Linked DNA regions of Arabidopsis thaliana. The protein of the gene in region 1 interacts with the protein of each later gene in a pairwise test. Each region holds a gene or a part of one and is shown on either strand. Other genes may lie near its edges.

The links.
Region 2: the proteins of ARF19 (region 1) and IAA13 interact in binary tests that used the Arabidopsis thaliana proteins (3 or more experiments, as listed by UniProt).
Region 3: the proteins of ARF19 (region 1) and IAA5 interact in binary tests that used the Arabidopsis thaliana proteins (3 or more experiments, as listed by UniProt).
Region 4: the proteins of ARF19 (region 1) and IAA10 interact in binary tests that used the Arabidopsis thaliana proteins (3 or more experiments, as listed by UniProt).

What each region holds. Positions count from the first base shown.
Region 1 is NC_003070.9:6,625,658-6,636,494, reverse strand, and holds ARF19 (auxin response factor 19), read left to right. Parts: upstream 1-3,361; 5' UTR 3,362-3,715; coding exon 3,716-3,758; intron 3,759-4,054; coding exon 4,055-4,167; intron 4,168-4,246; coding exon 4,247-4,342; intron 4,343-4,419; coding exon 4,420-4,476; intron 4,477-4,560; coding exon 4,561-4,716; intron 4,717-4,807; coding exon 4,808-4,892; intron 4,893-4,979; coding exon 4,980-5,070; intron 5,071-5,146; coding exon 5,147-5,507; intron 5,508-5,584; coding exon 5,585-5,723; intron 5,724-5,805; coding exon 5,806-7,550; intron 7,551-7,641; coding exon 7,642-7,832; intron 7,833-7,916; coding exon 7,917-8,100; 3' UTR 8,101-8,812; downstream 8,813-10,837. Other genes in the region: AT1G19210 (Integrase-type DNA-binding superfamily protein), read left to right, coding at 8,965-9,522; AT1G19200 (cyclin-dependent kinase, putative (DUF581)), read left to right, coding at 10,600-10,837. UniProt on the Arabidopsis thaliana protein: Auxin response factors (ARFs) are transcriptional factors that bind specifically to the DNA sequence 5'-TGTCTC-3' found in the auxin-responsive promoter elements (AuxREs). Could act as transcriptional activator or repressor.
Region 2 is NC_003071.7:14,113,119-14,119,984, reverse strand, and holds IAA13 (auxin-induced protein 13), read left to right. Parts: upstream 1-4,015; 5' UTR 4,016-4,227; coding exon 4,228-4,448; intron 4,449-4,718; coding exon 4,719-5,129; intron 5,130-5,213; coding exon 5,214-5,275; intron 5,276-5,366; coding exon 5,367-5,416; 3' UTR 5,417-5,704; downstream 5,705-6,866. Other genes in the region: AT2G33320 (Calcium-dependent lipid-binding (CaLB domain) family protein), read left to right, coding at 1-459; AT2G33300 (Transcription elongation factor (TFIIS) family protein), read right to left, coding at 6,025-6,855. UniProt on the Arabidopsis thaliana protein: Aux/IAA proteins are short-lived transcriptional factors that function as repressors of early auxin response genes at low auxin concentrations.
Region 3 is NC_003070.9:5,363,000-5,369,387, reverse strand, and holds IAA5 (indole-3-acetic acid inducible 5), read left to right. Parts: upstream 1-2,890; 5' UTR 2,891-2,927; coding exon 2,928-3,273; intron 3,274-3,390; coding exon 3,391-3,475; intron 3,476-3,563; coding exon 3,564-3,624; 3' UTR 3,625-3,876; downstream 3,877-6,388. Other genes in the region: AT1G15600 (uncharacterized protein), read right to left, coding at 1-36, 110-465; AT1G15590 (E3 ubiquitin-protein ligase), read right to left, coding at 1,156-1,183, 1,425-1,550, 1,629-2,014; CYCA2;3 (CYCLIN A2;3), read right to left, coding at 4,170-4,223, 4,319-4,453, 4,548-4,697, 4,793-4,903, 4,976-5,051, 5,136-5,269, 5,358-5,450, 5,548-5,684 and 2 more. UniProt on the Arabidopsis thaliana protein: Aux/IAA proteins are short-lived transcriptional factors that function as repressors of early auxin response genes at low auxin concentrations.
Region 4 is NC_003070.9:1,056,202-1,063,191, forward strand, and holds IAA10 (indoleacetic acid-induced protein 10), read left to right. Parts: upstream 1-3,268; 5' UTR 3,269-3,528; coding exon of another isoform or gene 3,529-3,607; coding exon 3,608-3,879; intron 3,880-4,081; coding exon of another isoform or gene 4,082-4,122; coding exon 4,123-4,433; intron 4,434-4,530; coding exon 4,531-4,663; intron 4,664-4,755; coding exon 4,756-4,825; 3' UTR 4,826-5,008; downstream 5,009-6,990. Other genes in the region: PRP39 (Tetratricopeptide repeat (TPR)-like superfamily protein), read left to right, coding at 1-87, 233-349; AT1G04090 (vacuolar sorting-associated protein (DUF946)), read left to right, coding at 1,024-1,129, 1,434-3,046; SDD1 (Subtilase family protein), read right to left, coding at 5,256-6,990. UniProt on the Arabidopsis thaliana protein: Aux/IAA proteins are short-lived transcriptional factors that function as repressors of early auxin response genes at low auxin concentrations.

The DNA.
Region 1 (10,837 bases):
CCACCTGAAAATAACGAATTTGATATACTTTTCTACCAAATGTAATATTTGTAACCTATGGGATAGTTTTTCTTTTTTCTTTTTAAAGCGTTGACAATATGATCAACCATGATTAAATCGCATTAAAAAATTTAAACCATAATAACTTCGATTCAATCTACAGTATTTGACCAACATGGTTAGTTAACTTATGTTATTTGATCATACAATACAAACGATCATTTTGAGTCTCTACAGTAGCTGCCAAAGTTAAGAATTTGGTTGTTCTCTTAATCTGATCATATTATGTTTTAAATATTTTTTAGTTACCAGCCATAAGTTATATAGATAAATAATATCGTAGTAAAGATTCTAACTAATTGGGAATTTCGTTAAATTACGAGTTACAACTTTATGAATCCTCATGTACATGTGTGCTCGCCTGCTCGGTCTTAGCAAAAATTAATATGCGAAGCCAATTAAATGTACTGATGAGTCTGTTTGGGCTAGATTCATCCGTATCTGGGTTAATTATTGGATTGAGCAAATAAACAAATGTAAAACCAAGTTGTAAACACAGTAAACGTTAACCAGTTTTTTTTCTTTTTTTTTTTTTTTTTTTTTTTTTTTGCTGACTAGATCATGAATTCGGTTGTAGTATGCAAAATAGAAATGAAAAATGTGAATAATCAAGGGTAAAGTGAAATTTCTCCCCACAAGTTGTGTAACAACAACTATATCGATTAACGAGTCAAAAATTAAATTACCACATGAAAAATGTCAAAGTTAATTAGGAACTTTTTTTTCATTGAACCAATTAATTTTTGATGAAATTTATGGTTTATTAATCTGACACAACACTGTATAAAAGATTTTTTTTGTTAAAAGTTAAGAAAGAAGAATGTTGAGAGAACCATCAATGTTAAACCAATAGATGATAGTCAAGATTCATAGTATAAAAATTTACCACATTGGTTGAGAGATCAATTCCTTTCACCATAATGTCAATCATAATTAGCCGCTAGAAACGTTTTCTATGTCAAAAATACACAGCTTTTTCATATTGATTTTGGTTCAGAATTTCATGGTTTTATACCTTGTTTGATAACGTCATTAGAACATATGTACTTTTGTACTACTGAAACATTAAACTAGTGTGCAAAACAAGATTTTAAGATAGTCTAAATTCCAGTTAACAGAAAAATAAAAAATATTGTTGGTTGGGAAATAGTAGAACAAACGAGAGAGAGAGTGTGTGTGGTTACGATGAGGAGAAGAGACATAGAGGCATACACTCACTTAAAAGCAAAACCATTTTGGCTAAACCGAAAGACTCGGTCGGAGTCTAGAGCCTGTCTCTCCCGACATCCTCTGCCACACCTCACGTGCATGCTGCACCCACACTCACGTGCACATACATTTTTCTTGTGTTTTAGTTATTTTAGTAAAAACGATATATTTATTGACTCTTTCTGTAATGGTGGTAGAAATTGAGGAATTCACAAAAGTCCCAAGTTTTTGTTATATATGGTGCATGCGTATGTATTTGAGGAAACTTTTGCAGGATGCGTGGATCAAATCCAATTATAATTTAATTTTATATAGATATAAAAGTCAATAGTGGGAGGTGAAAAAAATATCAACAATGATTGAGTGTTACTACTACTAGAATGGTTAATTCGTTTTGATGAGGAGTGATTTCTAAACACATCAATTGTTGTACGTACATATACTCTCCACGCGCAGCAAATATTGACCCAAAAAGGCATAAAAAACACTAAAGCATGCCAACTTTTTATTCTTGTTGAGATTTACTTTGTCGTCCCATATCTTTTCAAATTTTGATCCTCTATAATATATGTTTAAACCTAACTTATCAAACTTTACATTCCTTTTTCTTTTGCTCACTAGGTAAGGCTCTTGAGATCGCTTCACCTCATCTCTTGTTTAACATTTATAAACATGTAGCTGTCTGGTTAATCAATTTACATGTGGTAAATTATAAATTACTCTAGAAAGAGATGTATATTAAACTGCTAAGTTCATGGCTAATCTTCGGTATTTCTTGTTTAACCGCGATAAGTTGAACATATATTAATGAGCTCTTATGGTTTTTGTTTAATGTCCATTTGGAGGTGTGATCATCTCATATGTTCTCACCAAAAGATTACCACTTGAATTCTTTTACATGTGAAATGTTTTAATTTATTAACCCTCTTCTGTTTTGATCAAAACATAAACTATATATTTGAATCTTTTATATATAATTCATATTAATTAAATAACATCATGTTTTCAATGAATGTATTGACATGATATCAATGAAGAATATTTACTTTGGAAAGAGTCAGAGTTGTTCTCGAAAGATATTTAAATGTTCCAAATTATTTCCGTTTGTCTAAACATAGAAAATCCCTAATTACATATAAATCAACAAAAAGGTAATAATTAGGTCAAAACCTCCCCCACTAAATACATGTATACTGAGATTCAGAAATACAATACTATTATAGTATATGTTAATTGAAAGCAAAATTCATAAGAAAGATCGGCGTTGAAAGGAAAAAGGCTCTACAACTACATTTTATATGCATACGTAGAGAGCTGAAAGTAAGGAACAACTCTACTCCGGTCCAGATTAATTGTAAAGAACTTTATACATTAATTAAAACAAAAACGAACACTTTATACTATTGATTAAAAAAAGAAGAAGATGAATAAAATAATTGCCTGAAAAATTAATAATTACACATGAAGGCTTAGCTTTAATTGGAGTATAATGATGTCCGTAGCTCTGTAAACATGTGAAGTTCTCCTCCTTTTGCGGCTAGTGGGTGCTCCATTGCGTATCAAAAGGAATATTATTCTAATCATAATTAAGTCATTAAATTACTAGTAGTGTTTTTTTTTTTCTCGCATTATACGGACATGTCTCAATTTGGACCAATCCATATAAATGAATAAACTTATTAGCTACTACTATATTATAACAGAAAATATGTATATAAAAGAAAAAAAGTGGGACATCTTTTCTGGTAACCAAGAGTTTACAACTTTGGATTAGAAAATATTTAAGTCCCCATTTGGCTTGCAATTTTCGGTCCGCCGAACCTAATCCTTAGGTTTTTCTCAATATATCCGGGTTTATGGTATAACCTCATTCATAAGAAAATCCGTATTACTAAAGTAAAAAATTAAAAATATGGTTATAAAAACGAGGGAAAGTTAACAGATTTTAAAACCATGGACTGTTTTTCCAACAACAGTAAATTATAATCGGAAAAGATAAAAATAAAAAGAAATAAAAAAGGTGGGACCGACAAGAAGAAGACATCAAGTGGGGTGCCACGTCAGAAGGCATAAGAAAAGATTTCATCTTTCCGCATGTATCCGATCCCAATCGGCTTAAATCTCAATATCGATTATTGTTTTTATTTTTTTGAAAAAACACTTGAGAATCTGCAGAAACACGAGAAAAAAAAGAAAAGTTTCAAAGCTTTTTAAGAGCTTAAAAATTTGCTTTGAAGCTTCAAATATTCTTATGAACTAAAAAGAAGAAAAAAGCTTTTGTTTCTTTTTCCTTAGCAGCAGAATGATTTTTGTTTCCAAAATTATTACTATTTAGTTTCTCTCGTGCTCTTCTCTTGAGCAAATACAGATTCGTTAATTTTGCTGAAGAAGAAGAACTCTGTTTCTTCCCTGCACCAAACCAATTTTTTCGTTCTTTCTATAAACCATGAAAGCTCCATCAAATGGATTTCTTCCAAGTTCCAACGAAGGTACACAAGCTTTATATTTATCTTCTTCTTTTCCAGATTTTATACTATTCAATTTCTTCATCAAGGAGTTTCTGCATTTCATGTTTGTGATTTTCTCATTGAAAAAATGAATTTTGTTATTCAATTTCAACTTTGGAGTCAGCACAAAGTCACAAATCGAGTTCTTCTATCACTTTATTTAATAAAGTGGTTGAAACATAAATGCCGCTCATAAAATTTCCAGACTTTAAATGAAACTATGCAAAAATTCTATCACTTTTAACAGATTTGAATATGTGTGTGATGATGATGAACAGGAGAGAAGAAGCCAATCAATTCTCAACTATGGCACGCTTGTGCAGGGCCTTTAGTTTCATTACCTCCTGTGGGAAGTCTTGTGGTTTACTTCCCTCAAGGACACAGCGAGCAAGTAAGTTCATTGCGTTTCAAACTATTTTGAAACCTTTGGTAGCAATCTAAGTAATATGTTCAATGAAACCTTTTTTCAGGTTGCAGCATCGATGCAGAAGCAAACAGATTTTATACCAAATTACCCAAATCTTCCTTCTAAGCTGATTTGCTTGCTTCACAGTGTTACATTACATGTAAGTCTCTTCTGACTCCAACTTGTGAATCAACAAGAAGATGAACTAATCAGGACTTTTGTGAAATTCTGAATCAGGCTGATACCGAAACAGATGAAGTCTATGCACAAATGACTCTTCAACCTGTGAATAAGGTCTGAATTATATCATTCTTCTTGTGCTATCTTGGTTTAAAGTTGAGGACTTTAATGCTGATCTTTGCTCAAAATGTGTGACAGTATGATAGAGAAGCATTGCTAGCTTCTGATATGGGCTTGAAGCTAAACAGACAACCTACTGAGTTTTTTTGCAAGACTCTTACTGCAAGTGACACAAGCACTCATGGTGGATTCTCTGTACCGCGTCGTGCAGCTGAGAAAATATTCCCTCCTCTTGTATGTCTCTCTGATCAAAGCTACTCTCAGTTTCTTTTGCTTCAAACTTTTGAATCTGTTTTGCTAAAAGTTCTAAGGGTGCTTAAAATAGGATTTCTCGATGCAACCGCCTGCGCAAGAGATTGTAGCTAAAGATTTACATGATACTACATGGACTTTCAGACATATCTATCGAGGTTTGAATCATCTAAAGTTTGTTTTATTAGTCTAAAAGATTGAAAACTTCAACCTGATTTGTTTTCTTTGATGTAATCTGATCTCAGGCCAACCAAAAAGACACTTGCTTACCACAGGTTGGAGCGTTTTTGTTAGCACAAAGAGACTATTTGCGGGTGATTCAGTTTTGTTTGTAAGGTATGAGTCATACTTTGATCAAAACATTAAGCAGAATTGGACTTTCATCTTCTCATAAGGGTACTTGGGTTTGCAGAGATGAGAAATCACAGCTGATGTTGGGTATAAGACGTGCAAATAGACAAACTCCGACTCTTTCCTCATCGGTCATATCCAGCGACAGTATGCACATTGGGATACTTGCAGCTGCAGCTCATGCTAATGCCAATAGTAGCCCTTTTACCATCTTCTTCAATCCAAGGGCAAGTCCTTCAGAGTTTGTAGTTCCTTTAGCCAAATACAACAAAGCCTTATACGCTCAAGTATCTCTAGGAATGAGATTCCGGATGATGTTTGAGACTGAGGATTGTGGGGTTCGTAGATATATGGGTACAGTCACAGGTATTAGTGATCTTGACCCTGTAAGATGGAAAGGCTCACAATGGCGTAATCTTCAGGTAATGACATATCCGAGTTATGCTAAACTGTTTATGATGGTCATTTCTTCTGAATCTTTTGTTCATGGTTTAAACAGGTAGGATGGGATGAATCAACAGCTGGAGATAGGCCAAGCCGAGTATCCATATGGGAAATCGAACCCGTCATAACTCCTTTTTACATATGTCCTCCTCCATTTTTCAGACCTAAGTACCCGAGGCAACCCGGGATGCCAGGTGAGTTTACTGCTTTCGTTCATTTTTTTCCCATAGATCTTTGACTGAGTTTCCGGATACTAACCTTGGTGGTTTGTTGCAGATGATGAGTTAGACATGGAAAATGCTTTCAAAAGAGCAATGCCTTGGATGGGAGAAGACTTTGGGATGAAGGACGCACAGAGTTCGATGTTCCCTGGTTTAAGTCTAGTTCAATGGATGAGTATGCAGCAAAACAATCCATTGTCAGGTTCTGCTACTCCTCAGCTCCCGTCCGCGCTCTCATCTTTTAACCTACCAAACAATTTTGCTTCCAACGACCCTTCCAAGCTGTTGAACTTCCAATCCCCAAACCTCTCTTCCGCAAATTCCCAATTCAACAAACCGAACACGGTTAACCATATCAGCCAACAGATGCAAGCACAACCAGCCATGGTGAAATCTCAACAACAACAACAACAACAACAACAACAACACCAACACCAACAACAACAACTGCAACAACAACAACAACTACAGATGTCACAGCAACAGGTGCAGCAACAAGGGATTTATAACAATGGTACGATTGCTGTTGCTAACCAAGTCTCTTGTCAAAGTCCAAACCAACCTACTGGATTCTCTCAGTCTCAGCTTCAGCAGCAGTCAATGCTCCCTACTGGTGCTAAAATGACACACCAGAACATAAATTCTATGGGGAATAAAGGCTTGTCTCAAATGACATCGTTTGCGCAAGAAATGCAGTTTCAGCAGCAACTGGAAATGCATAACAGTAGCCAGTTATTAAGAAACCAGCAAGAACAGTCCTCTCTCCATTCATTACAACAAAATCTGTCCCAAAATCCTCAGCAACTCCAAATGCAACAACAATCATCAAAACCAAGTCCTTCACAACAGCTTCAGTTGCAGCTACTGCAGAAGCTACAGCAGCAGCAACAGCAGCAGTCGATTCCTCCAGTAAGCTCATCCTTACAGCCACAATTATCAGCGTTGCAGCAGACACAAAGCCATCAATTGCAACAACTTCTGTCGTCTCAAAATCAACAGCCCTTGGCACATGGTAATAACAGCTTCCCAGCTTCAACTTTCATGCAGCCTCCACAGATTCAGGTGAGTCCTCAGCAGCAAGGACAGATGAGTAACAAAAATCTTGTAGCCGCTGGAAGATCACATTCTGGCCACACAGATGGAGAAGCTCCTTCTTGTTCAACCTCACCTTCCGCCAATAACACGGGACATGATAATGTTTCACCGACAAATTTCCTGAGCAGAAATCAACAGCAAGGACAAGCTGCATCTGTATCTGCATCTGATTCAGTCTTTGAGCGCGCAAGCAATCCGGTCCAAGAGCTTTATACAAAAACTGAGAGCCGGATCAGTCAAGGCATGATGAATATGAAGAGTGCTGGTGAACATTTCAGATTTAAAAGCGCGGTAACAGATCAAATCGATGTATCCACAGCGGGAACGACGTACTGTCCTGATGTTGTTGGCCCTGTACAGCAGCAACAAACTTTCCCACTACCATCATTTGGTTTTGATGGAGACTGCCAATCTCATCATCCAAGAAACAACTTAGCTTTCCCTGGTAATCTCGAAGCCGTAACTTCTGATCCACTCTATTCTCAAAAGGACTTTCAAAACTTGGTTCCCAACTATGGCAACACACCAAGAGACATTGAGACGGAGCTGTCCAGTGCTGCAATCAGTTCTCAGTCATTTGGTATTCCCAGCATTCCCTTTAAGCCCGGATGTTCAAATGAGGTTGGCGGCATCAATGATTCAGGAATCATGAATGGTGGAGGACTGTGGCCCAATCAGACTCAACGAATGCGAACATATACAAAGGTTAGAGATCTTTCTCTCCCTTTCCATAGCTCTAATCTTTTGCTTCTTAATTTTCGAATGCTAAATGCCGAAAGTTGTTAAATCATTGAAGGTTCAAAAACGAGGGTCAGTAGGTAGATCAATAGATGTTACCCGTTATAGCGGCTATGATGAACTTAGGCATGACTTAGCGAGAATGTTTGGCATCGAAGGACAGCTCGAAGATCCGCTAACCTCTGATTGGAAACTCGTCTACACCGATCACGAAAACGATATTTTACTAGTTGGTGATGATCCTTGGGAGTACGTTCCAGACCTGAAAAATCTATCTGTAACAGTCAAGATTGAACAATTCTGATAATTCTTGTCTGTTTGTTTTTTCCACAGAGAGTTTGTGAACTGCGTGCAGAACATAAAGATACTATCATCAGTAGAAGTTCAGCAAATGAGCTTAGACGGAGATCTTGCAGCTATCCCAACCACAAACCAAGCCTGCAGCGAAACAGACAGCGGAAATGCTTGGAAAGTACACTATGAAGACACTTCTGCTGCAGCTTCTTTCAACAGATAGAAATAAAAAGATGCAAATATACCAAGTCAACTTACATTATCATTCGAGGCCATCGCAAAGTACATGTTTTTTTTTGTGTGTATGTACTGCAAACAACAAACTGAGAAGAAGAAGATACTGCACGGTATATAAACATTTTTATAGGACAGTGATTTGATTTTTCATTCTAACTTGATGTTGTTGTACTTTCTTGTTTCCATATTTGTATAACAAGTATAATGCTTGACAAGTCTATGAGGAGCATATCTTATACAGAGATACTAAGATGTAATGTTAATGTAACTAAACAATTACCTTCATTAATCATGAATCTTTGGTCGTTTCTTCTTCTTCTCTTCAGTGCCTCCTAAGAATCAGGGATCATTTCAGATTCTTTTATACCAGTATCCTCTAGACGCAGCGAAATATTCAACATTTCAACGTTTGAAAACGAAAAGAGAGGAGTTAAAGAAAGAATCACGTGAAAAACAAGGACAAGGACAAGAAAACCAAACAGTCTCTGAGATTTCCCGTGTGAGTTGTGACCCACACACATTAAGACTCAAGCTTCTAGTAACATCCGCCACGTGTCCATTCCCCTGACACTTTGCGGCGTTTTAAGTACAAACGCGCTCCCTTTGACCTTTGAAGCTGACCTTCTTTCTTCTTCACGCGCCATAAAAAGTCAAAAACTCACTCTTCACTCTTTTATTTCACTCGTATAAATAAATTTCTGAAGCGCCAAATACAATTATCTCAATTCAAATCAACACTAACACTGAAGAACAGAGCTCACTGAAAAAACTTAACAGAACAAAATTAAACCGGAAAACAGAGAAATCATACCGGGTTGGTTCAATCGCGTCTTTGTTTGGTTTAATCGTGATGGAAGGGTCGTCTTCTTCGATGCAGTCAAAGTACAAAGGAGTGAGGAAGAGGAAATGGGGAAAATGGGTTTCAGAGATCAGACTTCCCAACAGCAGAGAACGTATTTGGTTGGGCTCTTACGATACTCCTGAGAAGGCGGCGCGTGCTTTCGACGCGGCTCTTTATTGTCTCCGTGGCAACAACGCAAAGTTCAATTTCCCTGATAATCCTCCGGTGATCTCCGGCGGACGTAACTTGTCGCGATCTGAGATAAGAGAAGCTGCTGCGAGGTTCGCTAATTCGGCGGAGGATGATTCAAGTGGCGGAGCAGGATACGAGATACGGCAAGAATCTGCTTCAACATCGATGGACGTTGATTCGGAGTTTTTGAGTATGCTTCCGACGGTTGGTTCGGGTAACTTCGCTTCGGAGTTTGGGTTATTCCCTGGGTTTGATGATTTCTCCGATGAATACTCCGGTGATCGTTTCAGAGAGCAGCTTTCGCCTACACAAGATTATTATCAGCTTGGAGAAGAGACTTACGCCGATGGTTCCATGTTTCTTTGGAATTTTTGAATTCCATTATTCACAATCTGAAAATTTTGACTTGGGTTTTTTATTTTTTTTTGTAGTTCTTTACCCAATTTTTTTTTGATCATTGGGATAAAGAGTTATTCATTCACTATTTTTTTCCCACGTGTTAGATTTTTCAGATGGGAAAAGGCCAAACTTAATAAAACAATTATATTTGGATCTTCTGACGTCATTTGATCATATTATCATGATATCATCCACTCCAATCGCTTTCACTAGGCCCAATTACAAATCTTATTTTAACTGTACGATTAAGCCCAACAATAATACTTCAGGCCCATTAAAATCAATAAGGGTATTGTCTTATTAAATTTCAATTACAATTTTTACTTTAAGTTGTACGATTAAGCCTAATAATAATATTTCAGGCCCATTCAAACAAAGGCAATAAGGGTATTTGTCTTATTAATTTTTATATATTTATTTTCTGATATATTTGACAACGACCTTATTAATGTTTTAAGGGTTTTCAATATAATCATTTCAATGAATATCTTTTAAGAAAAAAAAATATACAATTCAGTAATCAATTAAGCCAGTGAAATTCAAGGATTAATTGGAATTAAAAAAATTGAAACAAATAGTTTAAAATTGTTATGAAATTATGCTACTATAATTTATCTAAACCAAAACGAATATTCTTAGCCACTAACTATTAACTTGACAAATCCTACAGTTAGTTATATTCAAAAAAAAAAAAAGAAGAAGAAGAATTAAGAATCTAGTTACGTAATTGTCTCAAATTCAAATTACATATTGCATTATATGTTTACAAGTGGCAAAAATGTTAATATAATATGCAGTAATTTTTTAAAAATAGAATCTGGATATATTGAAAGGAAAAAGAGTTTAATAGATAACGTAAAGAGCTTTATTAACAAAATGCGAATATCCGACCCGTAAAGAAATGCGGATATCCGGTGGGGCTAAGTCTGTAGCTTCTCCATTTCATCTTCTTTCTCTTCTCCACAATCAGATTTTCCTATAAGATTTGCTTCTTCCATTGCTCTTCTCATCGTCATATATCTTTCTGTTTCTTTTTTTCAGTTCTCGATTAATATGTTATCAAGCAATCCAATGACCTGGAAACTCTCCCACATGGTGGTTCCAGGTAAAAACTCCACTATTTCGCCGGATTATTTCACGGCTAGTCAAACAAGTCCTTTAGATATGATGAAATTCCCGTCGCCTGGAAGTTCGAAGAGGTACGATAATGGCGGTGGAATTGGTTTAGGTATCGTCGCTGCGCTTGAGAAATCCAGCATCGGGATCAATCCGGTTTGCCATACCGGTGCCG
Region 2 (6,866 bases), on another chromosome or scaffold:
TTAGGTCCGTCGCCATCAGAAGTAGCGCAGAAAATGGCGAAAGAGAGATCACAAGCTTACGAAACAGAGAGTTCGATTCTTAGTGAATGGAGCTTAGACGATGATAGTAACATCGAAGGTCTCCGATCGAAACTTGAGAGATGGAGAACAGAGCTTCCGCCGCTTTACGATCTGGGATCGAGTCATCAAAGCAGCGATGTAGGAAGCGGCGCGATGGTTGTTGCTAATGTAGGTGGAGGAAAAAGCTCGAGGAAGAAAACTCCGGCGGTGAAGAAGAAGCATAATCGCCGTCACACTGAAGGAGGAGGTAACGGACTTTTCTCGTGTTTTAGTAATTTGTGCGGCGTGGAATGCACATTCGTGTGTGGAGGCGGGTCGGATCAAGACGGGTCAAAAAAGAAAGGTGGGTCTGGGCGTTTGCCCCGCTTGGGCTCTGCTGATGATTTGAGTTATTTATGATTATTTTTAATTTTTAGGCTGACCAATATTCTTTTATTTTCTATATATTTGGTTTGTGAAAATGAGAAAATATTTGTGAATATTTTTAAACATTTCTCTTTTAAAATGTCATTGAGAAATATTGCATGCTATTTTCTTCTTATTACAATTGATATACAGTACACTAATACACATGAAACTATAAGGTAAGTTCAGATAGTTTGTAAAATGTAAAAATTTGCATAAAATATACTCTTGATATTTTGCTATCAAGCTATATGATTTTATATTTAAATTTTTGGCAAATGTGATCACGTGGACCGACGAAATAAAAGATCACTTTATGATGGATTCGGTTCAGAATTTTAAATCAATTAATTGTCGCTTATAGCTTAGTTTGACACAATAATTAAACTTAGCGAGATTAAAAATAGAGAAAAAGGAAATAAAGAGGCGCGAAAAAGGGGATTTGTGTCTTGCACTAAACGGGTAAACATCCGGGTGGTCCGCAAAGACCATTGAACAACGTGTCGTTTTAATATTAAGTACTTTTTGGTTTGATCCACCTTGTCGTTTTGTCCCCTTAAAACGACAGCCTTTTTCCTCCTTTCACAACCATTTTTTATTTACTTTCCAGTAATTTGTCACAGTATTTCTCCTCACATATTTGCTGACTGGTAAAATTTAGAACAGTGAAATGATTCTTCAGTTTTCAGTTTATTTTATTCAACTGTTGTCATTTCATCATTTTAGTGAAAAAAATAAAAATGAATTTTCATTCTACTGTTTTGCAAGTAATATGTTTTGTTTTTTCTTACAATTCTGATATACTATCTGACTGATGTAGACAATGTTTTGAGATAAGTTGATTTATATAAGAATGCAATAAATTTCCATTTTTAACAGTCGTATATCTAAATTTTTGTGTATAACTTCCTTAATTATGTCTTCGGATTTTTTTTAAAAAACTCGTTGATATATACTAACGGAAGCAATAAATTCTTTAATTGCTAAAGATTAATAAAGTTGTAACCTTTTTTTTGGGTCTTTTTCTTTAAAGATCGTTATGAAATGGGTATGGACCATGCTAGTATGCTACTAATTCAAAATAGTACATTGGCTATCTAAAGTTGGACTGTGTGAAATAGTTTATTCTACAATTTAAGACCTTTTTCAGGTAAGGAGAAATCACATATTAGAACTAAGATAATCTTAAATGTCTTCGAGTGATCATTTACTTTGTTATACAAAGACAATTTCCTTTTAATATCTACTGTAAAACATATTAATATATCGACAATATTGTTTAGTCTCAAAGTCTTTATGTTATGGTCCTAATAAAAACACTAATTTTTCTACATATTGATTTTAGTCTAGCATGTAGTATTTTTATCACTTTCTAAAAATCATGACTAGTCCTTAATCTTACTTTACAGAATACAATCCTCTTGCAAACTAATACTCTCATTATATATCTTTTCTTAGAATAGTTATATGTTACTGTTGGGATGTTTATAATATAAGATCAATCAAATCAAACAAATATGTATATTTATTTATATACATCTACAAGCGTGAAAATTCATTTGGAATGTCACATATGTTACAATTTTGGAACGTTTATACTTTATCAATATATATATATATTAATATATATTTACAAGCGTGAAGTCATCTCCATCATTTATCTTCAACCATTTGATTACAAGTTATGTATCATGAATCTGCTTTTGTCTTTTCCTTATGATTCCAAATGATATTAACCTTCAACTTGTTGCATGTTCACAAGAGACAAACACAATTCACGGTATATTTGATCAATTGTAATTCGTTACATACATAACTTTAATTCATTGAAATATACACGAACTAGATCAATTAAAAAATTCAGGACGTTGAAAAAGCTTTACAAAAGAAAAGAATGTATAACTTTTCCTTTACACGAATAGTAAATGAGAAAAACTCACATCTACAATTTTCGTTATCGTGTTAAATAGTATACAAATTTAAACCACTTTTTGAGCATTTAGACCTAAGTTTTATTTTCCGGAGATAAGCTGTTATTTTGCTCTGTTTACGTTTTCTTTTGCATCACTACTCTTATGCATATGTATATAAGTCCTCACTTTACTCATTAATAAATTTCTTATTTAAACTAAAAAATCATATACCGAAGTTACTATAAAACCTACGAATTCTCTCTAATTCATAAACATTTGTAAACAGCATTCATTAATACTATATGATAGATAATAAATAACTGTTCGTATAATCTACTTATTTTTCTTATTTCACCTTTACAGACAACCCCACAGCCCACTTGGGTATCGACTTTATAGTTAAAGCAATGTTCGTGCCTTTTGTCCTATAAAGGAACGACACAGGTAGCGCCTAAGAAAAAAATAAAAACTAACAAGTGAGTAAAAATGCAAAATAAGTAGAAGGGAAAAAGAAAAAACGAGTATAAAAATCACACGCAATTCTAGAACAAACGTAGATAACGTGAAAAACATAGAATCAACTATTTGATATTGACTAACTGTTAGTGTACTTGGAACTGTGAGAATAAGTCGCTTTGAAGTCTGAAGAGGTTCAGGTGTCCTGAGTTTCTAAATAAATAAAGAGAACAAACTTGTACTTGTTTTTTGGTTGTGAAATATTACTGTATCTTAATACTGTGAAATTTCAACATATTTCTTGAAACTAAGTTTGGTATTTCTAGCAAATCCATCAATAGAGTATGAAATTCAATGTTCTCATTTAGTCATGATTTTGATCAAAAGAGAATTTTCCACACATCAATTGCGATTGAAAAAGTTTTCAAAGGATCATCATAGCTCACATCAAGAAACATGATGATGAATAATCTCATCACCACTATTTATTTAATAATTCCTTATAATGAAAACCAATTTTGTTCTCACTTTATTTGGAACCCATCATAGTCTAGTCCTCCACGAAAAAAAGAAAAGAAAATAAATGAGCATATAGTGACCCAAAACTAAACCCAAATTCAACTTTTTTTCAAAACTGGTACTTAGCTATACGTTTTCACATATTTAACAGTTGTTACTATGAACATGATATAAAGCATAGCTAACCAGATAAGATCAAACGCAACGAATACAAAATAAACTCTAATATAGCAATCATCAAAACGAATACAAATTCTTGCAAAAATAGAAAAGAAAGTGTGATGCAAAAACAAAGCTTTCCACAAATACAAACACATAACACAAAAACAACAGTTTATATATTTAATATAGTTTAATAAGATATGTTTGTTTTGTTTATCATATTTTTTTATAAACACAGGAGAAAACAATAAGGTAAACGGGAGCACGACAAGTTTGATAATGTCGGGAAGAAAAGTTAAAAAGAATTTCTTTGTTAATAATAAAATTAGGGAATAAAAAAAGGGTAAAAGAGAAGAAGAAAGAATGGCATTGTTGTTGGTATGGCCACTACCAGACATATGGGTCCTACTCTTCTCATCACTCTCTCCACCACCTAATCCTCTCTCTCTTTCTTCTTCCTCAATTCTTGAAACTCTCTTTCAGATTTCAAGAAACCCTTAAAATCCTCTCTCTGTCTCTTTCTGTTTGTTTGTTTTCTTGTTTCCTTCTCTCTCTCTCTTTCTTTCTTTGTCTTCCTTTCCCAGGTTGTTTTTTTTTGCTCTCTCTGCCTTCTTGACTTTCAAAAGACTCTTTCTTTCTTTTGGATTGATTTTGGATTCTAGGGCTCTCTTTCTTTTAGTGGGTTTTTGTTGTTGTTGTTGTGGTCTCTCTGATGATTACTGAACTTGAGATGGGGAAAGGTGAGAGTGAGCTTGAGCTTGGTCTAGGGCTGAGTCTTGGCGGTGGAACGGCGGCCAAGATTGGTAAATCAGGTGGTGGTGGCGCGTGGGGAGAGCGTGGAAGGCTTTTGACGGCTAAGGATTTTCCTTCTGTTGGTTCTAAACGTGCTGCTGATTCTGCTTCTCATGCTGGTTCATCTCCTCCTCGTTCAAGGTTCGTCTTTTTCAAGCTTTTTGGTTTCAAAGAAAGATCTTTTAAGATGTTTAATTCCTTTTGTATGATGTGAAATTGCTATTCTCTGAACATAGTTCGTTTAGGAGTTTCTTAAAGATTCTTTAGTGTTTGGATGTATACTTGATCTGAGTTATGTCGGAAGAAATGCTCTGGTTTGGAATTAGGAATCTTGAATAGTTGAATCTGTTCTTGGTTTTGATTCATTTGGATAGATTACAAGTCCTGACTTGATGTTTGCTTTGTTTGTAGCAGTCAAGTTGTTGGATGGCCTCCTATAGGGTCACACAGGATGAACAGTTTGGTTAATAACCAAGCTACAAAGTCAGCAAGAGAAGAAGAAGAAGCTGGTAAGAAGAAAGTGAAAGATGATGAACCTAAAGATGTGACAAAGAAAGTGAATGGGAAAGTACAAGTTGGATTTATTAAGGTGAACATGGATGGAGTTGCTATAGGAAGAAAAGTGGATTTGAATGCTCATTCTTCTTACGAGAATTTGGCGCAAACATTGGAAGATATGTTCTTTCGCACTAATCCGGGTACTGTCGGGTTAACCAGTCAGTTCACTAAACCGTTGAGGCTTTTAGATGGATCGTCTGAGTTTGTACTTACTTATGAAGATAAGGAAGGAGATTGGATGCTTGTTGGTGATGTTCCATGGAGGTAATAGATCTAAAAACCTTGTTTATTTATCTCTTACACTTCCAATAAATGTTTCTGATGGTCTTTTTGTTGGAATTATCTTAGAATGTTCATCAACTCGGTGAAAAGGCTACGTGTGATGAAAACCTCTGAAGCTAATGGACTCGGTATGTAGATAATCTCATCTTGATTCCTGTTCTTGTTTCTCAAGATGACGCAATGAAAAATTTCTACTAAAACATGTTAATATATATGCAGCTGCACGAAATCAAGAACCAAACGAGAGACAGCGAAAGCAGCCGGTTTAGATCTCTTTTCGACGTTACGGTGTTACAGGTTTTATATTTTGGGGTTTTGCAAGTCTGAGATACTTCTGAAGCAAGCATAAGCTAGATTGATCTTATATCCAGTTTGTGTATTTTCTTGGTTCTTATAATGGTTTTTACTGGTTTTCTTTAGTTTTTTTTTTTGCTGTCTTTTAATTTTCGGTTGCGATTTCACTATATACTATGGATGGAAGAGAATGCTCTTTATATCTTTTACTACACTGTAAATATTTGAAGCTTATCTAATATCGTTTTTAAGGGTTTTTGTTGATGAGTCTACTCTAATGATCTTAGAACTATGCCAATATATCCACAAATAACTACTCAGATCAAATGGGGTTACGGAAACATAAGGCAAGAAAGCAAATAGATTACAAAACTCATAATGTATTTACAACTCAAAACGTTTCACACAGGTTAAACTTCTTATAATAGTGATTGTGAAAATCCTTAATACATACATATTCCTCTCACTGTTAGCTTTTGAGTAATGTAATTGAAGCAGTGACTACAATACTCTACTTTAAGCAAAAGAATAAGCAAGCAACCAACGTTTTCAAGTCATAAGCTTTTAAATTCCCTAGTGACATTTAGCCTTGAGTTTTACGGGACTCTCTGAGTTGTTGATCTCTGATACTCTGCCTCCAACATTGAAGAAGTTTTGAAACAGAATTGCATATTTTTCGGTTCTTGTGTTTTGTAAGATTCTCTAGCCTAACCATGAGCTTCCTTGTTTCCATAGCTCTTGCGCTGATGGGGAACTCCAAGAGCAAAGCGAGGGTATCTACGCACATTGATGTTTCTACTTCAGACGCGAGGATTCCCTTTGCGTTGGCAAAATCAGCAGATTTTTTGGCGATCTCGAACAGTTCCAACAAATCCTTGTCGTTCTTCTTCAAGACAGGACAACCTTTAGATGCGTTCACAGGTGGCCCATGTTCCCCGGATCTAGGGTTTTTAGAAAGTTTCATTGGTAAAGCTGATTTCTTCTTCACCTGAATAGTTCTCGCTGCAAAAGACTTGTAATCACCAGGCTTCTTCAAATTTTGTTTGGTCTTGCCGGTTTCATGATTAGCCGCCCTAGATCTCTGATCTTCTGTCTTGTTCAAGTTTGAGGATACTTGAACAACATCAGGCTTCTGTAGCGTTAGGCGAACCTTGTAGCAAGTACTATTATCCCTCACGCTCTTCATGGATACTTTTTCTGGAACATGATTCTGTTCATCAATTTGCTTAACTTCTCCGGTTTCATGAGCGTGCGAACTCTGATGTTCTCTCTTCTTCAACCCCGAACATACTTTAACAACATTATTTTTCTTCAGATTCAAGGTAAGAGCTTTGTTGTAAGTATAAGCGTCTTTTTCACTGGAAGAAAGAGTCTTCTTCATCGATGAGGAGTTGAACAAAACGTGAGATTCCATTCCTAATCTAA
Region 3 (6,388 bases), 1.3 Mb from region 1:
AAACCCGTCATAAAAAAGTCCATATCCTTGTTGATTCTGCAAACCAATAAAACCATTATATCTCAATCTAATGCATAAAAAGATAAAAGAAAACACAATTTATATATACCTTGTCTCTCTTAAGTATTCATCTGTAGATTCGGAGCCAACGCTTCGGTTATAAAGCCAAAAACGCCAACATAGGATAGGGAGAGTGGCAATACAGCCACATGTATAACCGATGATCCATATAGACAACATTGTTTGTGGATGTTCTTCATCTCTTGGCTCAATCAGAACGATTATGACCGCAGCAATCAAGACCAAAGTCACAACAAACTCGATTGAATTACAAATGCTTTCATTTGTGTATGGATCACCCAATTCAACACCCTCGTGTGGTTGCTGACCATCAATTGATGAAGAACTACCATCGCTTGTAATGTCAATGATGTGTTCACACTCGCTCAACAAAGGGCCCTCCATTGATCACTTTTGGTTTTTCCTATTTCTTGCCGATCAAATGAAAAGTTCATTCAAATTTGCGTTGACGAGCACAAAGCATATACCTTTCCTTCTTTGTTGATAAAATTATTAGTATTTTTTTAGACCAGATCAATACTAAGTACGTATTAGTCGTGTTACAAATAAAACATTATTTTGAAAAATGAAGATCAAAGCTGAGATTTCAATGTTTATATATATTGCAGATGTTTTGGACAAGTTAAATTGTTAATAGGTCAAATGATCTGTATGATATTTATTTTCTGTTTTAAGACAGACAACACAAGAAGACAGGATCGTATCTTTCAGTTTCCCACCACTTTTGTTTATTGAATGTGTACAATTACTCTTGAGCGAAAAAAAAATAAAAAAAAAATCAACCTCATCTCATCACCACCTAACTTGTGATTGACAGAGAGGGCATGTGGATTTGATTTTCAGCCATTTGTCTATACATTGCGAATGAAATACGTGTGAGCATTCAAGTTTCCTTAGTCCTACTCCTTTTTCCTCTCCATATTTCCCCAAGCATATGCAACAACTCTGCACACACCATCAAACCATGAAAATTAAACAACAACAACAACAAAAAAATGCTATTTAAAACAGAGTAATTAATGTGATATGAAATTATTACTCACATCATCATGGCTCGGTTTCTTGAAAACAAATCTACCTCCTATACCTTCCCTTACAGAATCTACATCATTTGATTTCAACTTATCCACATCATAGATATGAGAAAAAAATGTTCCAAACTCTAGTGAACATTAAGCGAAAAAAATACCTGCGCATAATAGTAATGCATATGCAAATCTAATGCAACTGAAAGCAATGAAGACTACACATAACCTGCCAAAACATAATCAAGAAGACAAAAGTTAGTACTGATTAGTTAGGGTTTAACTAAATCTCTACTGTGACATGATTGTGAGTCAAACCTGTAGAGCTTAGGAGTATCAGAAGAAGATGAGTGTCCATAACAAATCCATAGAATCCCCATAACTAACCACACAACAAAGAAACATTCATTCCCCATCTTCAAAGCATCCATTACCCTATCCGTTCTGCCACCAACAACGGTTCGGTTTGATTTAGCTAATTAAACTCTTAATGTTAAGTGAAACAAGTGTTGTTTATTATACCTCGTTTTTGAGTAAACACCAATTCGGTTGTATTTGCGGACACACGAGAGGAGAATAAGGAGCGTAATGGTAATACAGCCACAAGTGTAACCGATGACCCATGTTAACAAAAGTGCTTGTTGATGTTCATCTTTTGCCAGAGTTAAAACTATTAATGATGCAACAATCTGAACCAAAGTGACTACTAATTCCATTATATTCCAAAGACTACCACAGTCTCTCGTAGATGAACTTGCACCTTCATCTGACGATTCGTCATCCGTAGACAGAGACGAACTTAATGAAGGATAGCTTCTCTCGTCCAAAGACGATCTTGATGAAGAATCTTCATCGTTTGTAATGTCGATTATGTGATCATCATTATCACTGTGGGATTCGCTGTCCATTATCACAAAGTCTTGTTGTGTTATTCATTGGCTAAAGCCAGCCGACAATATATTATACGCAATTCTACATGATCAATCGAAAACTAGAAATTGTGTACAAGGAAATTTGACTAATCTAGCTTATCTATCAACATGTGAACATTCCAAAAATGTACTATTGGAGATACAAAGATATGGAAATATCTATGAAAAATGGAAATATATCCCGTAATTGATATTTTGATCAGTTCTGTTTCTATTTCGTAACAAATAATGACAAAAGTATGGTGTACATGTGTAGATTACGTATGATGTAATGAAAGTATCGGGCACATGTGTGAATAGCAGAAACAAGATATATGACGAAAACGTAGATGCATTTTTTTCTTTGAAATTATGTATGCACTGTGTAGTGTGTTACGTGTAGAAAAAAATGAAATAATATAATAACTTGTCTTAGCCTTGAGTAACACGTGTTCGGTTGTCGAGAAACATAAATATACGTAGATTTTAAAGTGCACTAATATATATTCGACCATGAATATGTTGTTTTATTATTATGTCGTTGATTAAAAGAATGGGATACAGACATAACAAATCACACATAACATGGGATGTCTAATAGAAAGTAACGTGTTTCTGATCCAACGGCTGAGAAAGAAACCCTACTTTGTCGGTAACAAAATCGTGGCCGTCCAGTGTGTCGAACCAACGGATCCATATTATCGACATTTAAACACGAAGCGGCAAAGGAATGAAAAAACATGACATAAAAATTTCGACAAGATCTTCGAATGGGGCCGACAAGATAAATCAATGCTAAACAAGCTTGTCTCAAACGCCATCGTTTATGTTCCCATGAGAACATATAAAGTGGCAACAGAATAAAGTTCAAACACATTAACACCAATACTTTCAATCAAAAACATCAAAGATGGCGAATGAGAGTAATAATCTTGGACTCGAAATCACCGAACTACGGCTAGGTCTTCCCGGAGATATCGTCGTCTCCGGTGAGTCCATCTCCGGGAAGAAGAGGGCTTCTCCGGAAGTAGAGATTGATTTGAAATGTGAACCGGCGAAAAAGAGTCAAGTTGTGGGTTGGCCACCGGTTTGTTCGTACCGGAGAAAGAACAGTCTCGAACGGACCAAAAGTTCGTACGTGAAAGTGAGTGTAGATGGAGCTGCATTTTTAAGGAAGATTGATTTGGAAATGTACAAATGTTACCAAGATCTTGCTTCCGCTCTGCAAATTCTGTTCGGATGCTATATCAATTTTGGTTAGTTTATGTTTCTATATATAGTATATATTTTTGGTTTTAGTCTTTACTTATCAAGGCAACTAATGATCCAAAACATCGATATTAACTTTATAATCTTTATATATGAAAATGAAGATGATACGTTGAAGGAAAGTGAATGTGTACCAATATATGAAGACAAAGATGGAGATTGGATGCTTGCTGGAGATGTTCCTTGGGAGTAAGTTTCTAGCGACCTCTATAACATTCAAATTTACTTTCTTTTATTTAATTGATATCTAATAAATTATGAAACTATTTGTGTGCAGAATGTTCCTTGGATCGTGCAAGAGGTTAAGGATTATGAAGAGATCATGTAACAGAGGATGAATGATATTTATAGTCACATGTGAATGTGAGTGAGCCTTACAGATATCTAAATATACATTTTTGCAGTTACTCAATATTTCTCTTCGGAAGTCTAAGATTTCCGAAATTTCTGTAGAAGTTGTTTTCTTTGACATAGTTCATTCATCTTTATCTTTTGGTCACTGGACTAAAGTCTAGAGGCGGTTCTTATAAGCTACTGCATGACAGTTCAATATCAACAATCAATGAAATTTGAAATATAAATACTTAAACCTACTTCATATCAGAAAACTGATATGAAAATTCCGAATCTGTTTACATTGCCTCAAGATGGGAGAAAAATGTACATTCTCGTTACAATAAAAAAAACTCTAGGTACCGATTAGATGTTCCCGGGTTTGGAAGAACCAAACCACGGATCAAACTAGGCTAAACCGAATTCTAATCAGGTATTAGATGAGTGGGACTGTGGAAATTCTGTTTTATGAACAAAGAGTAACAGATGAATGAAAACGAAATTGGACCATCAATGTGACAAAACTATTATCGGTTAGGAGTTGAAACCTTCAGAATAGCGTGTCAAGTAGCTTTGGAGACGTGAGAACCGCCACAGATTTGTACTGCAAATCCATAATAAGTCTTATGAGAATCAAGGAAACCAAACTAAAGTTATACCAAACAGGTTTTAGTATGTGGTTTTAACTGATAAGCTTACTTTCTCTTGCCTATACTTCATGCGTATAGCGCTCAAGGGGCAACCTTTGGTGTTAAGCTGCAGATCTTGTAAGGCATGAACAGATGCTTTCAGATCCGATGCTTTGTACGTTGTGTAATGCTCAAGTGTTGGATTCTGCCGGGGGAAAAATCAAAAAGATGTTAAAGATCAAAGATTTTGTGGAGCTAAACTGTGTCTGGATATACAAAAGAGAAGCAACATCACAGACCCATGGGTGGTTTGATTGGTCCATTGTCCACTTGGCGAGAAAAACCGCTGAAGCAGCAACAACGGAAGGAAGAAACTTTAAGAAATGGTAGTCTATTAATGTCAACTCTGTTAGATAGCTGGCTAGAAACTCGACTTCAAGGCTTGGGCTCTGCCGAATCAGCAATCAAATATGGACACATTCTCAGTCTTTCTACTAAACTTTGTAATTAGAAGAGATAGGGGAGCAAATTGCGAAATGCATACCAGGCGAGAGGCTTGAGCTGCTCTGAGAAATCTCCTAAGGAACGTTTTTGGAGTGGGAGTGTATATTTGAAAGCTAAAATGCTTAAGTACTTGGTTCTCCATTTCCAGGACCTGCACATCACGACTCCATTAGCACATTGCACACTTTCTTTTTTGAGGATTCAGACAGCAATCTCGGTATACCTGATCTCTTGTGTAGGTGTTATCCGTAATGAAGCAAAACTCCTCAATGCGTGGAGCAGAGATTTCCTCATACTTCCTGAAAAGTTTATAAACAAATGCAGTATAAGTTTAGTTTAGCTTTTGAGAAGAGATTTACTAGTGAGATTGGAGAGGAACATACGAGGCAATTAGCATGCAAGTGATGCCGAGCAGTTGAAGTTGCTGTCTTTGCACGTAGTTTCCATGGAGGAACCAGTCTATGAGATACACTGTGAGGTAGAGAGTGTCAGATGCAAGTGTGTATTCTTCAGAGACCTGTGATTGAAATCAGACTTTTGTGAGAACCCGGAAAAGGTCATAGTAGCTTCAAAAGTTAGCATCAAAAGTAGAACTAAACACTAACCTCCACAAGCCAATCAACCAGAATTCCCCGCATGGACTGGGTGACATCCTTCTGTATTCTCTCCATAAAGTCCGGAAGTGGTCTGCGTTTAAGCTGCCAGAAGAGAAGTGACACAGAAGCACAAGCAATAAAACTTTCAGTCCTTTGGCTCACCAAGTTTCTTTAGAGACTATCAAAGCCTAGGAATTACCTCTGAAACACGCAAATTGTAGTGGATTTCAGGGGCATAGAGGCAGCACAGTAAAGGATCCTTGTCATCTGAATCGATGTCTACAAATTTTGGGATATCCGGTACAGTTGAACTACCAATAACAGCACTTTTCTCAGCTGTAACCATTTGCAAAAAAGATTTATAAGTCATTAAAGACCACTCCTTTATACAATAGGAACTAATCATATGAAAACTTGTGTTAAATGGATCACCTGTAGAAGCTGATCTCCCAAGAGGTCTTGGAGGCAATCTAGAATTCCATATCTCAATACAGTTATCAGCTGTGTTATCTGTGCCTTTAGAAACAGAAAGGTTTCCTGCTGTATTTGATGCAACTTCAACTTTTGCATCGGTCCTGGACTGAAGATCTGTGACTTCTGAAGTAACAGAAGTTGCCAACTGGGATGTACTCGCCAATCCATGACCGCGTCCTTTCTTTATCTGCTTGCTGTTTTTGGCCTGAAATGGCAAAACCCATGTTTCAGTGATGCATGTTTTACTTCACAAGATCTTTACAAAAATTCACAGGAAACCAAACACTATAAAGAAACATAATATAGTTTTAACAACCTCAAGTATAGCTGTATTGGAGTTAACATTTGTGATCTCCCCTAGAACCGCTCGCTTCTTCCTCTTGTTGGGTCCAGTGGCTCTTGTATCCTCCAAGGCTGGTCTTTTTGTGTTTACTCTCTGTTGATTCTGTGTAGTAGAAGTCACTTCTGAAGCGCGCAAAGCAGAGGCAAGGGAACGAGTGAATGGCCGAGACACAGCATTTTCCTTCCCCATGTTTAAAAATCCCACGATAAAACACAGCCTTGAA
Region 4 (6,990 bases), 5.6 Mb from region 1:
TATGGGGGATATCCTGCTGGCTATACCGCTCCACAAGCACCAACACCTGTGCCACAGGCCGCAGCTTATGGAGCGTATCCTGCTCAGGTAACCAAAATTCTTAATTAGTGTTAAACTCAGGAGTATTTAGGAGGATTACAGGGATTAGCCACCAGTTTGAATTGGGAATCACTCTTGGAGATAAGTCTTTGATCATCTAACTTGGATCTTATCTTTGTGAAATTTTTTGCAGACATACCCAACGCAGAGTTATGCACCTCCAGTTGCAGCAGCAGCACCAGCGGCTGCACCGGTGCAGCAACCGGCTGCTGCTGTTGCTCCTCAAGCGTACTACAACACGTACTACTGAGCCTATTACTGCTGCTGGTCGTTTTTGTAGTGTAATTGATAACCATTTGCTTCTATCTACTCAAATTTAGTGTCTGGATGTTTACATGTCTCTCTTTTCTCGATCAGTGACAATAGATATTTACTTTTCTTCAGTTTGTTTGATTCGTAAAAGTTCTTGGATTTACGCCGGTTATGATACAGATTGTAACCAGAGAAGTTGAATTGATGGAGCCGGGTAGTACTGTTTCAATGATCTAACTCAGTTAAACTCCTCAGAAGAAAAAAAGGAAAAGTAACGACGCTTAGAGAACTTAATTTTCCAAAAAGAAAAGAATAGACCTCGAATTCTTACTTAATGGGAAAAATATACAATTTTAAAACTTATGGGGTAAATATGCGAGGATTTTTAGATATATTTTGAAACAAAACATATTTTGTGCGACTGTCCAAGTTTTTCGTGTTCATCATCATTTTCTTGTGGCGTTTCTTCAAAAACCAAAGTTACTTTTTCCCCAAGGTATTCGCTGATGTGTGGAATTGGATAAAACAGTTTCATGACTTTTTGGTTTTCTCAATAAGAGGAAAATCTTTAATTTATTGCCCGAAGGAAATGGTAAACAAGTGATGAGATGCTACAAAGCTGACATATTTCCACCTTCCTGATTAATTAGGGTTTCGCGCGATCAGATAAGAATGTTGGGTTACAAATGTCTCCACTGGAACAATCTTATAGATTTACCGCCATTAAAGGACCCTGAAACCTTCTCTCTTCCTTCTTCCATTCCCCATTGGCCTCCAGGTAACTCCAATTCCATTCAATTCCCGACTTCTCTTGTCAACGATTTCGAATTCAAAAATTCTATTTCAATTTTAGGTTTCTTAAGCCTTGACAAAAGAGAGATTTTTATTTCTCGATTTTCCTCAATTTCGTGAAATTCAATTGGGTTTTTCAATCAGATCTCTATATCCACTAATCTAATTCGAACAATGGTCAATCAAATCTTTTGCGTTTTCAAAGAGGATTCTTTAAAGATTGCGTTTTGAAGAAATTTTTCAGCTGGGTCTCTTAGATTTTGTCTCTCCATCCTTTGAAAACTGATCAGGTCAAGGCTTTGGCTCTGGAACAATCAATCTCGGCAAATTACAAGTCATCAAAATCACGGATTTTGAATTTATATGGAGATACAGATCCACAGAGAAGAAGAAGAACATTTCATTTTACAAACCAAAGGGATTGTTACCTAAAGACTTCCATTGCTTAGGTCACTACTGTCAGTCTGATTCTCATCCTTTGAGAGGTTATGTACTTGCGGCAAGAGATTTAGTGGATTCATTAGAACAGGTAGAGAAACCTGCATTAGTGGAACCTGTTGATTTTACTCTTGTCTGGAGCTCAAATGATTCAGCAGAAAATGAATGTAGTAGTAAGAGCGAATGCGGTTACTTCTGGTTACCGCAGCCTCCTGAAGGGTATAGATCGATCGGTTTTGTGGTTACAAAGACTTCCGTGAAACCTGAGTTGAATGAAGTTAGATGTGTTAGAGCTGATCTTACTGATATATGTGAACCCCACAATGTCATTGTCACTGCTGTTTCAGAATCTTTAGGTGTTCCTTTGTTTATATGGAGAACTCGGCCTTCAGACCGAGGAATGTGGGGCAAAGGTGTCTCTGCAGGTACTTTCTTCTGCAGAACTCGGCTTGTTGCTGCTAGAGAAGATCTTGGTATCGGTATTGCTTGTCTAAAGAATCTAGATTTGAGTTTACATGCGATGCCAAATGTTGATCAGATTCAAGCTTTGATTCAACACTATGGTCCTACACTAGTCTTCCATCCTGGTGAAACTTACTTACCTTCTTCTGTTTCGTGGTTCTTCAAAAATGGTGCAGTTCTCTGCGAAAAGGGAAATCCAATCGAGGAACCTATCGATGAAAATGGTTCGAATTTGCCTCAAGGAGGAAGCAATGACAAGCAGTTTTGGATTGATTTGCCGTGTGATGATCAACAAAGAGATTTCGTCAAGCGAGGAAACCTTGAAAGCTCGAAACTTTACATTCATATTAAGCCTGCTCTTGGAGGAACGTTCACGGATCTTGTCTTCTGGATCTTCTGTCCATTTAACGGACCAGCAACCTTAAAACTAGGACTCGTCGATATCTCATTGATCAGTATTGGCCAACACGTCTGCGATTGGGAACATTTCACTCTCCGAATCAGCAATTTCTCTGGTGAGCTTTACTCAATCTACTTGTCTCAACACAGTGGCGGCGAGTGGATCGAAGCATACGACCTTGAAATCATTCCCGGAAGCAACAAAGCCGTTGTTTACTCTTCAAAACATGGTCACGCAAGCTTTCCTAGGGCTGGGACTTACTTACAGGGATCGACAATGCTTGGGATTGGGATAAGAAATGACACTGCGCGTAGTGAACTCTTGGTAGATTCGAGCTCACGGTACGAGATCATTGCAGCGGAGTATCTCAGCGGAAACAGTGTGTTGGCAGAACCGCCGTGGTTGCAGTACATGAGAGAATGGGGACCAAAGGTTGTGTACGATTCAAGAGAGGAGATAGAGAGATTGGTGAATCGATTTCCGAGGACGGTTAGGGTTTCGCTTGCCACAGTGCTTAGAAAACTTCCGGTGGAATTATCCGGCGAGGAAGGTCCTACAGGACCAAAGGAGAAGAACAATTGGTATGGCGATGAAAGATGTTGAAATTCTCACTGTTGGGAAACAGATGTGGTGAGATTACCATCGGAGCCCTAACTGTGTAACTTGTAAAGGAAGATGAAGCTTTGATTGCGCAAGAGATTAATTACACAATTAGCGTAGGATTAACGTAAAACTTGTCGTTAGAAGTGTATACAAGTGGGTCCCATCATGTATTTAATTAAAATAATAAAGTTATATAGACGAACAAACCTCCACCAAACGCAACGCACACATTCGTGTACCGTTTCCGATTTTTCGTTCCTCCAATTTCATTCTCTCTCTCTTTAAGAAAAATTCCTTGTTTTTGATCCGAGAATCGAAGTCGCCCTCGAATCAAGATTAAAACCTCGTTTAGTTCTCAATTTCAGTTCTGTGGATCCGTGCGTGACCTCAAGTTTTTTTTTTTTTTCTGTCTCGAAATTCAGAATCGTAGAGGTGTTGAAAGTTGAAACCTTTTTTTTGGTTTGCTTGGTTAATGGGTTTCTTCAAACTTGATCGATAATTGGATTTGAATCAAGGGTTTTAGTGTTCTTGCTTTGTGTATTCGTTTGGCAATTTGGGATAATGAATGGTTTGCAAGAAGTTTGTTCGTCAAGTGGGTCGGTGATGATCGGACTACCAGCTGAAGAAGACGAAAACGCCGCACATTCGTCGGAGGATTCATCTTGCCCCGACGAGTCAGTGTCAGAGACAGAGCTCGACCTAGCTTTGGGTCTTAGCATTGGTCGTCGGAAGGTTCGATCGTCTTTGTCTTCCTCGTCTTCTTCTCTGACCAGGGAAAGTGGGACCAAACGCTCTGCTGATTCTTCTCCGGCTGCCGCCTCAAACGCAACCAGGTAAAAAATTCATCTTCGAGACTTTATATTATAACCTATATGAATGATTGGTCTCAGATTGCTTATTGTTACAGAATCAAAGCAACTTAGAGGATAGAGCTTTTAGACCTTAAACTTTGAGAATGAATGAATCACAGGATTGAATCAAATAGAGTGTTCCCTGAAATGTTTAGTTAAACTTTTGAATCATATTGGTTTATACTTGTTCGTCTTTTGATTTAATATCTTTTGGTAATGGAGCAGACAAGTTGCTGTAGGTTGGCCGCCTCTACGGACTTACAGAATCAACAGTTTGGTCAATCAAGCAAAGTCTTTAGCTACGGAAGGCGGCTTGAGTTCTGGCATTCAAAAGGAGACTACAAAAAGTGTAGTGGTTGCTGCTAAGAACGATGATGCTTGCTTTATCAAATCGTCCAGGACTTCTATGCTTGTGAAGGTGACAATGGACGGAGTTATAATTGGAAGGAAGGTTGATCTCAATGCTCTGGATTCTTATGCAGCCTTAGAGAAAACTTTGGATCTAATGTTTTTCCAGATTCCTTCTCCTGTAACAAGTCAGTTACTAATTCTGTTTCATGAGATTCCATGTGATTCTGTTTTTCAAATTCTGTGTCTCTTGAAATTGACTGGTTTTGATTGATCGATTTGTAGGATCCAACACACAAGGATACAAGACAATTAAGGAAACATGTACTTCGAAATTACTGGATGGCTCATCGGAATATATCATAACATATCAAGATAAAGACGGAGATTGGATGCTTGTAGGAGATGTTCCTTGGCAGTAAGTGACTACCCTTATAACTTCCCATTCATCATCTGTATTTGTAATGTGGCACATCCATTTCAATGAAAACGATCTTTTCATCTTCTCAGGATGTTCCTCGGGTCTGTGACAAGACTGAGAATCATGAAGACATCAATTGGAGCTGGAGTAGGTAAGTAGAGAGTCCTATATAGCAAAAACAGTTTACATCTCTTTGGTCTGTAACTCATATATCACATTCACATATATACATGTGCATATGTTTATACATGAGTGTACATATGTCTTGTGGTCGTTTGTGAATATCAAACAACAGCTTAACCTTGTCTTTAAAGATCTTTGTATATTTAGGGTTTTTCACTCTATTGGTGCCTGATCCAATATACCACTATAACAACAAAGGCATGCATCTGGATTAGGGTTTAGTGATGAAATCAAGCTACAGTAATATGATAGAATCACCAGTAGTTTCATTCCCTGGAAAATGAAATACAGCTCTTGTGCGTACAATAACAACAATCAATCAGCTTCACGAGGTTTTCTTAGCATAAAAACCTAATAAACCTAACACAGTCTTGAAACAGAATGAAAAACGTTTTCCTTCATTGGCTCAGTTAGTCTTCAAGGTTACAGAGATTGGACTTCTAACTCGCTGCATCAGATTATGAGAGTTGACCCAAGTCAACTGCCCTTGTGCAAAGCTAGCCACCTTCCCTCCTCTGTTTTTCTTCTTCAATACAAACCATACTCTATAGCTCAGCGTCTGATCCACGTGTTTGAACACAAGTCTCTTAGGATTGACAATAACTTTGATCCCCTCTGGAGCCTTGACATTCACTGAGTATATCGAGTTAGGACTCCCAACGTTAGTGACACGCCTTGTGATCATCTCCGTAGTCTTGCCACGTTTGAAAATCACGGCTATCGACGGGTAATTGAGACTAAAACCCGGGTTTTTCCGCAATATTCCATTGCAGCTCACGTTCTTATGAGTGATTGCTAAAATATCTGATCTTGTGAATCCAAGAGTGCAGAGGTAAGTTATGTAATCCACTGGTTGAATGTTGTAAACCAATCCCGGGTTTATCGCCTTTTGCGGATTCACATGCCCTGCTCCAATCGCAAACACACCGGCTGGTTTGTTACCATCCTTTATCGCTTTCCCTTGACGATCGTACAAATCCGCTGTTGTCATCAATGCGGATTTGATTGCAGCTGGAGACCAGTTCGGGTATGCAGACCGGATAAGAGCAGTGATTCCGCTAACATGTGGACAAGACATTGAAGTTCCTGACATTACAGTGAAGTTAACTCTTCTTGAATCATAAGGAAGTCCGGTTGGTCCTAGATTTTGAGGCCAAGCCGCAATGATATTGACTCCCGGAGCAATCATATCCGGTTTTAGTATCGAAGGATTGGCTAAACTCGGTCCTCGAGCTGAAAACTGAGCCACCTCCGGTGCTCGTGACCTCCCAATCACCGTACCACCAAAAATTATCCGCGCCTTTGGTTTCACCGTGGCATTAACATAAGCCTTCAGAAGGACTGACTCAGTGTAACCAATCAATGTAGCTGGTAAGAGATGAACGTCAATAGAATCTTCTTCTTGGTTGATCTCTGTATTGGCTAAGATCATTGCAACTCCTCCAGCTTCTTTAACCGCTTCTCCTTTCTCCGATCTTCCATTGACTCCGCGATCACAAATCACCATTTTGCCTCGGATTTCTTCTCTTGGAAGTGACCCTCTCAAACAGAACTCACTTCCTTTATCTCCTCCTGTGACGTAAATCACCTCAACCTCTCTCCCGGCATTCTTTATACCTTTTCCCGGATACAATGACTCTCCATAGAGAAGCTTTCCGTTGGCTAATCTGACCACAGCGGGAAATCTTCGATCAAGCGTGCCTGCGCCAATGGTTGAGACCCAAGGAGCTGTGTTTGCAACAGAGCTTTCGATTGGACCGTTGTTACCAGCTGCACAGATTACAGATATACCGCGTTCCATGGCTCGGAATGTTCCAATGGCGATTGTGTCATCATACAAAGGAATAGGGAAACCGCCAAGGGAAAGCGAAAGAACATCGACTTTATCTTGAATCGCTACATCTATAGCTGCTAGAATGTCAGAGCTGTAACAACCATTGAACCAACAGACTTTATAGACTGCAATGTGAGCTCCAGGAGCCATCCCACGAGCCACACCAGCTCCATTGCCAAGAACATTCGCCATCGAAACAGAGGATCCACCAACTGTTGAGGCGGTGTGAGTCCCGTGTCCCGTTGAATCTCTTGCGGAAATGTATTCACGAGGCATGTTTGGTGATTCCTCTGGTGAATTAGCGACA